Linked DNA regions of Arabidopsis thaliana. Each later gene encodes a partner of the first gene's protein in a complex. Each region holds a gene or a part of one and is shown in the gene's direction. Other genes may lie near its edges.

Evidence for each region. Proteins that work in one complex are often made in the same cells at the same time.
Region 2: the proteins of PARC6 (region 1) and PDV1 are in contact, whole or in part, in a crystal structure (PDB 6JZN), measured with the Arabidopsis thaliana proteins. Residues at the interface, in NP_188549.2 of Arabidopsis thaliana: Trp700 (codon at 5,501), Glu701 (codon at 5,504), Lys704 (codon at 5,513), Leu708 (codon at 5,525), Trp729 (codon at 5,695), Leu732 (codon at 5,704), Thr735 (codon at 5,713), Ala736 (codon at 5,716), Lys739 (codon at 5,725), Cys741 (codon at 5,731), Trp743 (codon at 5,737), Phe745 (codon at 5,743), Leu773 (codon at 5,827), Glu775 (codon at 5,833), Ala777 (codon at 5,839), Glu778 (codon at 5,842), Leu779 (codon at 5,845), Asp781 (codon at 5,851), Ala788 (codon at 5,872), Lys789 (codon at 5,875), Tyr790 (codon at 5,878), Ser792 (codon at 5,884), Tyr794 (codon at 5,976), Ile796 (codon at 5,982), Tyr798 (codon at 5,988), Ile815 (codon at 6,039), Ile817 (codon at 6,045); in NP_200140.1 of Arabidopsis thaliana: His264 (codon at 3,330), Leu265 (codon at 3,333), Asp266 (codon at 3,336), Val267 (codon at 3,339), Met268 (codon at 3,342), Met269 (codon at 3,345), Ala270 (codon at 3,348), Arg271 (codon at 3,351), Gly272 (codon at 3,354).

Annotation. Positions count from the first base shown.
Region 1 is NC_003074.8:6,630,898-6,637,825, forward strand, and holds PARC6 (plastid division protein), read left to right. Parts: upstream 1-1,739; 5' UTR 1,740-1,912; coding exon 1,913-2,215; intron 2,216-2,514; coding exon 2,515-2,628; intron 2,629-2,705; coding exon 2,706-2,843; intron 2,844-2,918; coding exon 2,919-3,023; intron 3,024-3,114; coding exon 3,115-3,237; intron 3,238-3,447; coding exon 3,448-3,816; intron 3,817-3,918; coding exon 3,919-4,014; intron 4,015-4,158; coding exon 4,159-4,275; intron 4,276-4,683; coding exon 4,684-4,749; intron 4,750-4,834; coding exon 4,835-5,587; coding exon of another isoform or gene 5,588-5,650; exon of another isoform or gene 5,651-5,694; coding exon 5,695-5,885; intron 5,886-5,971; coding exon 5,972-6,056; 3' UTR 6,057-6,395; downstream 6,396-6,928. Other genes in the region: PREP1 (presequence protease 1), read right to left, coding at 251-425, 692-977; AT3G19184 (AP2/B3-like transcriptional factor family protein), read left to right, coding at 6,658-6,804, 6,884-6,928. UniProt on the Arabidopsis thaliana protein: Component of the plastid division machinery required for PDV1 localization to constriction sites. Involved in chloroplast division site placement. Required for the proper formation of FtsZ rings at the division site in nongreen plastids (e.g. etioplasts).
Region 2 is NC_003076.8:21,605,722-21,609,951, forward strand, and holds PDV1 (plastid division1), read left to right. Parts: upstream 1-1,688; 5' UTR 1,689-1,864; coding exon 1,865-2,170; intron 2,171-2,846; coding exon 2,847-3,359; 3' UTR 3,360-3,707; downstream 3,708-4,230. Other genes in the region: AT5G53270 (Seed maturation protein), read right to left, coding at 550-1,029. UniProt on the Arabidopsis thaliana protein: Component of the plastid division machinery.

The DNA of each region.
Region 1 (6,928 bases):
CAAAGCGTTAAGTAATTTGACAAGTTGTAACCTCCAAAACTTAGACCACTTTACAAGTACCAATATATTAGAAGAAGAAACGAAATGACTAGGTCTAATCAGAAAAAAAAAGCTTTGATGAGTAGAGATAAACTTGACCATTTCAATTAGTTAAATTCAAGGAGTGAAGCTTTAGGTACCAATTTCAATTGCCTAATACATACTCAGGTCAAATTTACAGAGAGTAAAAATTATTATGAAGTAAACTTACGGAGGAGTTCTGAAAACAACACCGAAGACCTTGTTCTCATCCTCATTTGACACAGACATCACCTCGCAACCAGTTTTCTTGTGTTTGAAGAGTATCGCCTTTGATTTACACTCTGAGATGAATTCTTCCGACACTTTTTCAAATCCAAGCTTCTCAGCCTCATCTTGACCTACATCTGAATCCAAACAACCAAAAATAAGGAAAATCACGCATCAGCAGAGGTTACACATGGCTCCATTTGATTACAAAGTAGACACAAAGCATGAGATGAAAAATGCACCACACGGACCACACCTATCTACAATTCACAACCTATCCTAAAGTAAGAACCACAATTTCACAAGTGCCACAAATCAACATGTCCGAATTAAGAGAACAAATCAATTAGCAATTAAACTTCAAACAGATTGAAAAAAAGAAGTATATGTGAAAAATTCCAACCAGGATAAAGTGGAGCGGGTTGTGTGGCGACGGCGCGAACAGAGAGGCGAGAGAACTGCCCATTGACACTGCGAACTGCGGCGGAGGGAATCCTCAAACCTCGTCGGAGCAAAAGACGTCTACCGGCGACTGAGGGAGAGGAAATTCGGCGAAGATTGCGACTGGGGACACGGAGAGCTGCCGTCGACGATGTGAGAGACATGTAAGAGCGAGGGAACTGACGAAAGAAGCGAAAGAATAGAGAGGACGAGCTGCGCGAAGCTAAACAAGAGACGGTTCGGAGCATAGCTACCGGAAAAAAAATATTCCCGGCGGAGACTGCTACTGACGGAGACGAAATTAAGGATATTGCAAAGAAGCTAAATAAACCCAACGGCAAGAGGTTTTATCCTTGTGTAGTTGTGTGTTTTTGCTTGTAGAGGAAAAAAGTAAAATAAAATAAAATGAAATACCTCATTTCTTGTACAACACACAAAATTATTGTGAAAAATATTCTCTATTTTACTAAATTGGCATTTTATTTTTCTGAATTTTTAAGTCGGGACAAAAAAGAGGTGCTGATTTGCAAGAAAGGAAACGTGGTTCTCATATAGCCAAATGTGTTTGAGTGTTGCAATTTGCTATCCTCCAAAAATATAATGACTACAAAATATCTTAAATCTTTTTTCATGATATTAAACTTAAGTGAAAGTATTACAAAATCTGATCAAGTTAAAAGTTTACACCAGACATATACTTTCCAGGTATTTGATTCAGAAAAAATCATATTGATCAGATTTAAACAAATTTTAAATTATATATAAGTTTTTTCTTACACACAAATTAAACCTTTGATCAGTACTAGACTACTGGTAGCATGCGATGAGCTTGCAGTAGTTTCTCTCGCACATTAGTTATGGGCCGAGAGCTAGGCCCATGTCCAGGGACGGATAAAATAATCTTCCAGATGTTTCTTTATTATCCACGTGGCGTGATCACGTGACCACGTCTCGTCTCGTCTAGTCCTAGATTAGCAGAGCCTCTCTTTCGGCCAGCGGGTTACCTTATTATCGTCACAAGACGAAACTTTCAGAAAAAGGCAAAAATCACTGTCAAAACTCAAAAGCCTTGAGACCAAATTTCCGATTTTTTCTCCTCTGAAGAAATCCAACAAATTGTACCATGATTCCAGCTTCACTCTACTTCTTCTAGGGTTCGTTCGTTTTCTGGAGCTGTTGCGCAATGCCAGTAGCTTACACATTTCCAGTTCTCCCTTCTTCTTGTCTGCTTTGCGGAATCTCCAATCGCAGCACCAGCTTCGTCGTAGATCGCCCGGAGCTTCAGATCTCAGGTCTCCTCGTCGTTCGTTCTGAATCCGGTGAATTCTTCGGTTCTGGTTTATCTTTGCGGCGGTTTCAGCGAGAAGGACGGAGGAGGTTGAATGCTGCTGGTGGTGGTATCCATGTCGTCGACAATGCGCCGTCTCGTACTTCTTCTCTCGCTGCATCTACCTCTACAATCGAACTCCCGGTTACGTGTTACCAGGTATTTTGCTCCGACTGACTTACTTTTCGGAATCTCTGTAGATACTACTATCTCTCGCGATTTGCTACTTAGCTCCTCGTTGAAGTGCAAGTGGAACTTGTTTTTATCCTTCTAAATTTTGTTGAAATAGAAACATTTTCCTCCAATTTGTAGTCTCTAGCGCGTAGAACGAGATGGATGTATTGATTTGGCAATTTAATATTGTATCATAGTTCATTTCTGCAATAGAGTGTAAAGAATGTAGCGTTTCGTTTGTTAGACATTATTCCAGGATACTGTTAATTGTATTGATTTTGCAGCTTATCGGAGTTTCTGAGCAAGCTGAGAAAGACGAGGTCGTTAAGTCGGTTATAAATTTGAAAAAAACTGATGCTGAAGAGGGTTATACAATGGAAGCTGCTGCAGCTCGCCAGGTTAAGACCTATAGTATCACTAGAGTTGGACAGGGAATGTGGCTTCAGTTTCTTGATACTTTGTTCTTAATGTGTAGGATCTTCTCATGGATGTTAGGGATAAACTTCTTTTTGAATCAGAATATGCTGGTAACCTAAAAGAAAAGATTGCTCCTAAATCTCCTCTCAGAATTCCGTGGGCATGGTTGCCTGGTGCTCTATGCCTTCTTCAAGAGGTACTACTTCTGACCTTTTATTGCGTTTTATCCCTGCAAATGTTTTGTACTGATCTTTCTGCTACTATGCTTCAGGTTGGACAAGAAAAACTTGTGCTGGATATTGGCCGGGCTGCTCTCAGGAACCTTGATTCAAAGCCATATATTCATGATATATTCTTATCTATGGCACTTGCTGAGGTAAAATCAAATGAACTAAGAATGGGAACTAGTTATCTACTTTCACTATCCTCTGCTTCTTCTATCTCTAATATGTTTGTTTTCCATTTAGTGTGCAATTGCCAAGGCTGCTTTCGAGGTTAACAAGGTCTCTCAAGGATTTGAAGCTCTTGCTCGTGCTCAAAGTTTTCTGAAGAGTAAAGTTACTCTTGGGAAACTTGCATTGTTAACTCAGGTAACAGGTTCTACTGTCTTGCATTAGTATATATAAAGCTTCTCTGAGTTTACTTTTAGCCCTGTTACTGGCTTGAATTATTAAAAGTGCATGATCATGCCTTACTGTAAATCGCATCATGTTTAGGAGCTTCACATATAAGTACGTATTGTCCAAAAGCATAATTTACCAGCATATTGGGTTTTAAGGGGTTAAAATTGATATTTATAGATTGAGGAGTCACTAGAGGAGCTTGCACCACCTTGCACATTGGATCTACTGGGCCTGCCACGCACGCCAGAAAATGCAGAGAGGAGGCGAGGTGCAATTGCCGCGCTACGCGAACTGCTCAGACAGGGCCTTAGTGTTGAAGCTTCATGTCAAATTCAAGACTGGCCATGCTTTTTGAGCCAGGCAATTAGCAGGTTATTGGCCACAGAGATTGTCGATCTTCTTCCATGGGATGATTTAGCCATTACACGGAAAAATAAAAAATCACTGGAATCCCACAATCAAAGAGTTGTTATTGATTTTAATTGTTTCTACATGGTGTTACTTGGTCACATCGCTGTTGGATTTTCAGGCAAGCAAAATGAAACGGTATATCTCGTTTTCTTTCCTTTTGTTAAATTTAGACTGATTGGTCCATTTCTTCTCTACTCTATCTGCTTATAAAGCATAACATTCAGTATGCTTGTGTAGATTAATAAAGCAAAAACGATATGCGAATGTCTCATAGCATCAGAAGGTGTTGATCTGAAATTTGAGGAAGCTTTTTGCTCATTTCTTCTAAAACAGGTATTTTTCCTCTTGCTTTCTTTATTCTTTTTCCCTATCAACTATGCTTGTGCATCTTATTTACTTCAAGTTCACTTGCTTCGAAAGATCCTTGCGTTGTTCATTTAGTTAAGTGCTACTGGACCTACATGTTGGATAGCACAGGGTTCCGAGGCAGAGGCCCTGGAAAAACTTAAGCAGCTGGAATCAAATTCAGACTCTGCCGTTCGTAATTCGATCTTGGGGAAAGAGTCGAGAAGTACTTCTGCTACTCCCTCACTGGTAAACCTTATGATTTTTACCAAGAATATGTGTTCATTTGTTGCTACGACTAGAGCGAGGGCTATGCCTGATGTAAATGGCATGATCAACTCTAGTGGAGTATGAATAAGTTTGAGCTATGTTTCAGGCTGTAATTGAAACAATGGAAATAGATACATTTAGTGGATGGTAGTTAAATTCATAGAATATGCTTTAACAGCATTGTGTATGCCTGCCGTTAACATTTTCTTTTTCGATTGGTTGTACATACACATAAATCTTAATATTTGTTTGAGTAAGCCCTTGGGTTCATGCACTAAATTTAATTTGGAAATTTTGCAAGTATGTACATCTCTTCGCTAGCTCTGATTTTTTTTCATAGAAAGATTGATAGCGACCTTCATACATGCTACCTATAAAATTGACCAGGAAGCGTGGCTAATGGAGTCCGTGCTTGCTAACTTTCCAGACACAAGGGGTTGTTCTCCATCTTTGGTAAGAATCAGATCACTACTGGAAGATTCTGTATAGCAGTTCTATTTTTATGCAGAAAGATAATCATATATACAACTTTCTGCAGGCCAATTTTTTCCGGGCTGAAAAGAAATATCCAGAAAACAAGAAAATGGGGTCACCTTCGATCATGAATCATAAGACGAACCAAAGACCACTTTCCACAACACAGTTCGTGAACTCGTCACAACATCTTTATACAGCTGTCGAGCAGTTGACACCAACAGATTTGCAGAGCCCAGTGGTATCAGCCAAGAATAATGATGAAACCAGTGCCAGTATGCCATCTGTTCAACTGAAGAGGAACCTTGGTGTACACAAAAATAAAATATGGGATGAGTGGCTCTCTCAAAGCAGTTTGATCGGAAGGGTATCTGTTGTTGCTTTACTGGGTTGCACCGTGTTCTTCTCTCTGAAGCTATCAGGCATTAGGTCTGGTAGACTACAGAGTATGCCTATATCGGTTTCTGCTAGGCCGCATTCAGAATCAGATTCTTTTCTGTGGAAAACAGAGTCTGGGAATTTCAGAAAAAACCTTGATTCTGTGAATAGAAATGGTATCGTGGGAAACATCAAAGTGCTCATTGACATGTTAAAGATGCATTGTGGCGAACATCCGGATGCCCTGTATCTGAAAAGCTCTGGTCAATCAGCTACATCATTGTCTCATTCTGCGTCAGAACTGCATAAGAGACCAATGGATACAGAAGAAGCGGAAGAGCTTGTGAGACAGTGGGAAAATGTTAAGGCTGAAGCTCTTGGACCAACACATCAAGTTTATAGCCTTTCCGAAGTCCTTGATGAATCCATGCTTGTCCAGGTTACTGTTTCTATACATCTCCTATTATTCCTTTACTTAATTATGTTAGTTTACTACAGTTGAACATCAATGTTTAGGTAGAGTCAATATTTCTTTGTTTAATGCAGTGGCAAACATTGGCACAAACAGCAGAGGCGAAATCCTGTTATTGGAGGTTCGTTCTGCTTCATCTTGAGGTTTTGCAAGCACATATATTCGAAGATGGTATTGCTGGTGAGGCTGCAGAAATCGAAGCTCTTCTGGAGGAAGCAGCAGAATTAGTTGATGAATCTCAGCCCAAAAACGCAAAATATTATAGGTAAAAAAAAACATTTCGCTTTCGGGTTACTTTTGGACTGAGCTGGTATCTTCTTCACTGATGCAGCCTTTGTAAATTTCTTGTAGCACTTACAAGATCCGATATATTCTGAAGAAGCAAGAAGATGGATTGTGGAAATTCTGCCAAAGCGATATTCAAATACAGAAGTGAAAATCCCCCAGAAAAAAAAGCTCATCATCTAACTAAAGGTTGTAGCATCAACAGTAGAACATGGGATCATTTAGCTAACGGTTGTTCTTGTTTACCTAACGGTGTAGGAAAGTCTCAGGTTTGTTTCTTTATTCCTTAGTAACCCACAGGATTTGTCTTTGTAGATTCTTTTGATTTCAATGTGTTTATGGATAAACAAACTTCTTGAGTATTTTTTTTATTATTATTGTAAAGCGTTACTGATCAAATCAAATGTTTTCTTAAAATAGTTAAAAATATTAAGGGATCTCAAAATAATTGTTAATTATGGAGGGAAAAAAAAGAAACGTCTTTTAAGAAGCCCATACCTGCTTCACGTATCACGATGGAGGCTTACTCAGACCTTCCACTGTTGAGAATTTGAAATTTCAATTTGTTTGATTAGACACAATGATTAAGATTTTTATTACATAAAAAGAAAAAAAAAATTGGAGAAGTATAAACACATACATAGCGGTGAAAGAAGAAACCCAACGGTCACTCAAAAGCGCATTGAAGAGTCAAGCAAGACTTGGATCTGTCTCTTTCGTTTCTCTATCTCTGTTTCGGATTCCTAAGAGAAATGGTGGAATCGGAGCTAAGCTATGAACAGATTCGTTTGAATAGGGTGGAAGAGAACAAGAAGAGAATGGGGGAGCTTAATCTCAACAAGCTTGCTCAATCTCTTCGTGTCTCTTCTTCTTCTTCTTCTTCTTCCAAGCCCTCACCAGTAACGTTTCCTTTCTCTTCTCTTCTCATTTCTTCTTTTCTTTTTCTGAAATTAACCAATTTTTTTTATGGAAATGTAGGCAAAGCCAAGAACGATGCGTATTCCAGTGGATTTCTCGGAGGTC
Region 2 (4,230 bases), on another chromosome or scaffold:
TAGTTTAAATACGAAAACGGAATGTGGCGATAATAACGGTTCCGTACAGTTTCATTTGACACGTAGGCTTTTAACAGTGTAACGTGTCCATATTTAGCTGCTTGTGAGACAGTGACCCTTAAATGCATCGGCGAGACTATGTATTAAACATTTAGAGTAGCGTGGTGAGTTTAAGAAATATTGGAAGAAAGGACCTTTCATAACCCTTTTATGCAAATTTCCATATACTATTCTTTTTTTTTAAGGTATGTTGATCTCTTTTAACGACTTGCATGTTTTTGACGTTTGTCAAAACTCAAAAGTAATAAAATGGAGTTCCATGGTTGGATTTTGGGATTTAAATTTGTTCTTTAATGATTATTTATGCAACAAAATCTTATAGGCTTCCAATGCCTATATAAGGTGGATCAAAAACTGATCTCGGTAAAAAAGACAGTACAAAACTTCGGTTCGAAACTTCCTACTCTAAAAGAAAACAAAACAAAAAATACAAAAATCACGACCGTTATTATATACTTATTGTGATAAATATGTAAATTGCAATTGATATCAAAGAGATACATTGCATGGATTGCAATTAAGTTTATAAGCTGCAGTGACGGATTCAGCAACACCTCCAGGAATAATATTATTGAAAGGAGAATGATTCAGCTCAGCCCGAATCACTGCTTCTGCGTCTTCACTTGTCACTTCTCTATCTCTCGTTACTTTCACATCAATCTCCGCGATAACGTCGCCGAGATTTGTCTTCTCATTATCTTCTCCTATTTTTTGGTTACGAGCAACCGCTTTACTTGCTACAGCGGTTACACCACCATCGCTTTCTATATCACCTCCTATAGCCCTAGCTTCCACCTCTTTTATGGCAGCCAAGTCGGTGGTTTCTACCGGTTTACGGCCGACATTTATCGCCGCTGCTTTGAGTGCTTCTGTCAATGTCGTTGACCTCCCGACTAGCGCTTCAGCCGCCGTGGAAATTTGTTCTGTTGTGCCTGCATACTGTTTCAAAAGGCCGAACCCGAACATCATACGATATCAACATGGTCACGTAAAATATTTCAAGTTAAAAGTTTTTTTACATTTTATCACCGCGGTAGAAGTTATACAATTCCTACTATGAGCTAGCAATCGGTAAAACGGTAAATTAAAGGGAACACCAACAAAACGGTACAAAATCTTTACCAATCTATGTTTTACCGCACTTGCTTACTTCTTTTAACTGTTCTGTTATCGTAAACGATTTTTCTTTTAATCGTGGCTAATTTTTCATTTTAACCTATTACCTGACCACAAGTAGTAGATTGGGAGAGGCTAAAGTGCTCCTCTACAGAGATATTGTGAAACTAGCACCATCTTTTGATGAACCCATCGTTTTAGAGTTCTTTGATCTTCTTTCTCTGCTTTGCATTATCTAATACACTTTCTGTTTTGTGTAAATTGATAAATAAGTAAACGGAAGTGCCGACAAAAAAAAAGAAAAAAAAAAAAAAAAACGGAAGATGACAATAGTAACGGTTCCGTAACAATTTACATTTGACACGTCGGCTTTCAACAGTCCACGTGTACAATACTTGTCTACGTATGCCGTTATGCGACCGTGACTCTTCGATGCATAAGAGAGACCAATTACTTTTTGGGCCTCAGAAGCTTCGTAGAGCCCAAACATTCTACCAAGCTTTGAGACACGTGCATAGTCCGTGCCAGCTGTTTCTTGTTTTAGTATTTCCGGGTCGGGTTTCACCCGTATCCGGAAATCAAATTCATCGGAGCGCTTAATTTGAGTCCACAATTAAAGTGAGAATTTTCCTGAAGAAGAAGAACTTTTGCTTTTTTTCTGGGTTTGCTTTTTTGTTGTGTCAATGAAATGGGAGAAATGGAGATCGAAGAAATCGAAGCTGTTCTTGAGAAAATCTGGGATCTACATGACAAGCTTAGCGATGAGATTCACTTGATTTCGAAGTCTCACTTTCTCAAATCGGTTAAACCTTCAAATAGATCGGAGAAGAGAAAGAATCCTCACGGAAATTCCGGCGAAGATAAGCGACCTGGTTATGTTTTCATCAAAGGATTCGCCGTCGATGATAACGACTCCACGATTCAGGAGGCGAAGAGTCTTAACGCAATTCGAACCGCTCTTGAGAACCTTGAAGACCAGCTCGAGTTTTTCCATGTAAGTCTCGTGTTTCTCCGATTGATTTTGTGGTTTTCGCTTCCTTGATATGAAGCGAAATTGGGAGATTAGCTTGTTATCTCCTTTGTTTTGTGCTAATTTTTGAAGATTGTTAAGCAAATCCTTCTACTAGATGACTATTCAAGTCCGAAATAGGTTGTATCTGCTTCTGAAGAAAGTGACTCATGATTAAGCCGATTTGAGGCAATTTAGGGTAAAAATTGATTGAGGTGTGTTTAGTTAGGGTTTAGATTTACGAATTAGGAATTTAGGTTCTGAACTGGATAGTAATTATCAGATTCTTACGAAAATTCTGAGCAACAATTTTAGACAGAAAATCATCATACAATGTAGTTCTGAGAGCATTGTTTATTGCAAACTCTTTGATCATGGAATTAAAGCAGGGAGAGGAATCTAGATTCAGGTGTTGTATGTGCATGAAGAATGATATGGTCTTATTTAAGATCAGAAGAAGTAGAGATAGATAAGCAGAATCCATTTCGCAATACATTATAGACGCATGTGTTTTATCATTGCCATAGATAATAGACCAACGAAGAAGAATATACAAGCTATTTTGCATATACACTCATTGGTTCTGGTCAGTCGCATATGTCTCGTTTACTATCTGAACCTGAAAGACAAGATGTAAAACTTCTTTCTCTTTGCTCTGCAGACTATACATACACAGCAGCGAACAGAGAAAGATGTTGCGATTGCTCGGCTTGAACAGAGCAGGATATTACTAGCAATGAGATTAGCTGAACACCACGGCAAGAACTATGGAGTCCTAGAGGAAGCTCTTGCATTTGTTGGGAGCATTAAATCCAACTCGCATTACGTTTCACCTGATCACCTCTACGATTCCTCTCGAAACCCAGACGGAGCAAACTCTATTCCAGATGGAATAGAGTCAAACTTTGTAATCAACGCCTTTGCCTCGACTTTCGGGTTTGCCAAGAGAGCACTTGGATTCAACCATGTGAAAGGCGTACTTGGAAACGCTGCTATATTTGCCATAAGCGTGGTCGCTATGCTACATCTTCACCAAGTGGCTACTAGTGAACATCATCTGCAGAAGAAAGAAGACAGATTCTACAGAAGCCAACAAAGGAAAACATACGGAAGAGATAAGTCTTCAGCTGACAGAAGTTTGGATCACTTGGACGTAATGATGGCTCGTGGTTAAGACCAGAGATCGAACTTGTCTACACGTGAGAAAACTAAAGAAGAGAAGAGATAATTGTTGCTCTCATAGGTTTCGATATTATCAGCAAAAGGATAAGAATTTGGAGGCAAAGTGTTGGAATTTTCTGAGCTCGTCTGATGCAAATATTGTTCCTTTCTTCTAATTTTGATTTTCAAACACTGTGGTTAATGTTTTGTTTGTTTTGTTTGGTTTTGTTGATTTCAAATGTGGTTAGGCTTTCTTGTAAATCACAAGATCTCTCGGCTATTCTTTAGTAGCAACTGGCAAATTCAGATTGATGAATGTATTGGGCCACTATCAGCCCATTCGCACCCCAGAACTATCCAGCCTTAGTTTGCTCAATCTTAGGCCCTTTTACTTTTGATGACAAATCACTCTAAACCGTAATAATTTGGTCCGGAAACAATATACAAAATACAGTACGAATACTGAAGAGGTTTATCGTCTAGTTTTTGTTATTCAAATTGAAGAAAGATAACGTTTTCTCGAAATTTTATGAGTTATATGACTTGTATACGTAGTTTAATATCAACTTTTTTTTATTCTTTCTTTGTTTCTACAAAGCCTGAATATCTATAAAGTATAAGGGTGTCAAAGCGGGAGAGTTTGTCCGGTGTATGTGAATTGTGATGTGAACAAAGCAAAGACAAGTGGGAGGACAAGTTATCAAGATGATAAAGGGGAAACTACAATGAGTCCAAATTGGTAGAATGAAGGAAACATGAATGTGAATATTACAAAATACTTTTCCTTAAGATCTGTTTTGTCTCTCTTTTTCTTTTGCTTTTGTACACATAGCTTTTTCTCTACACACTCTTAACGTTATAAATGGCTTCTTCTTTTTCTTCTA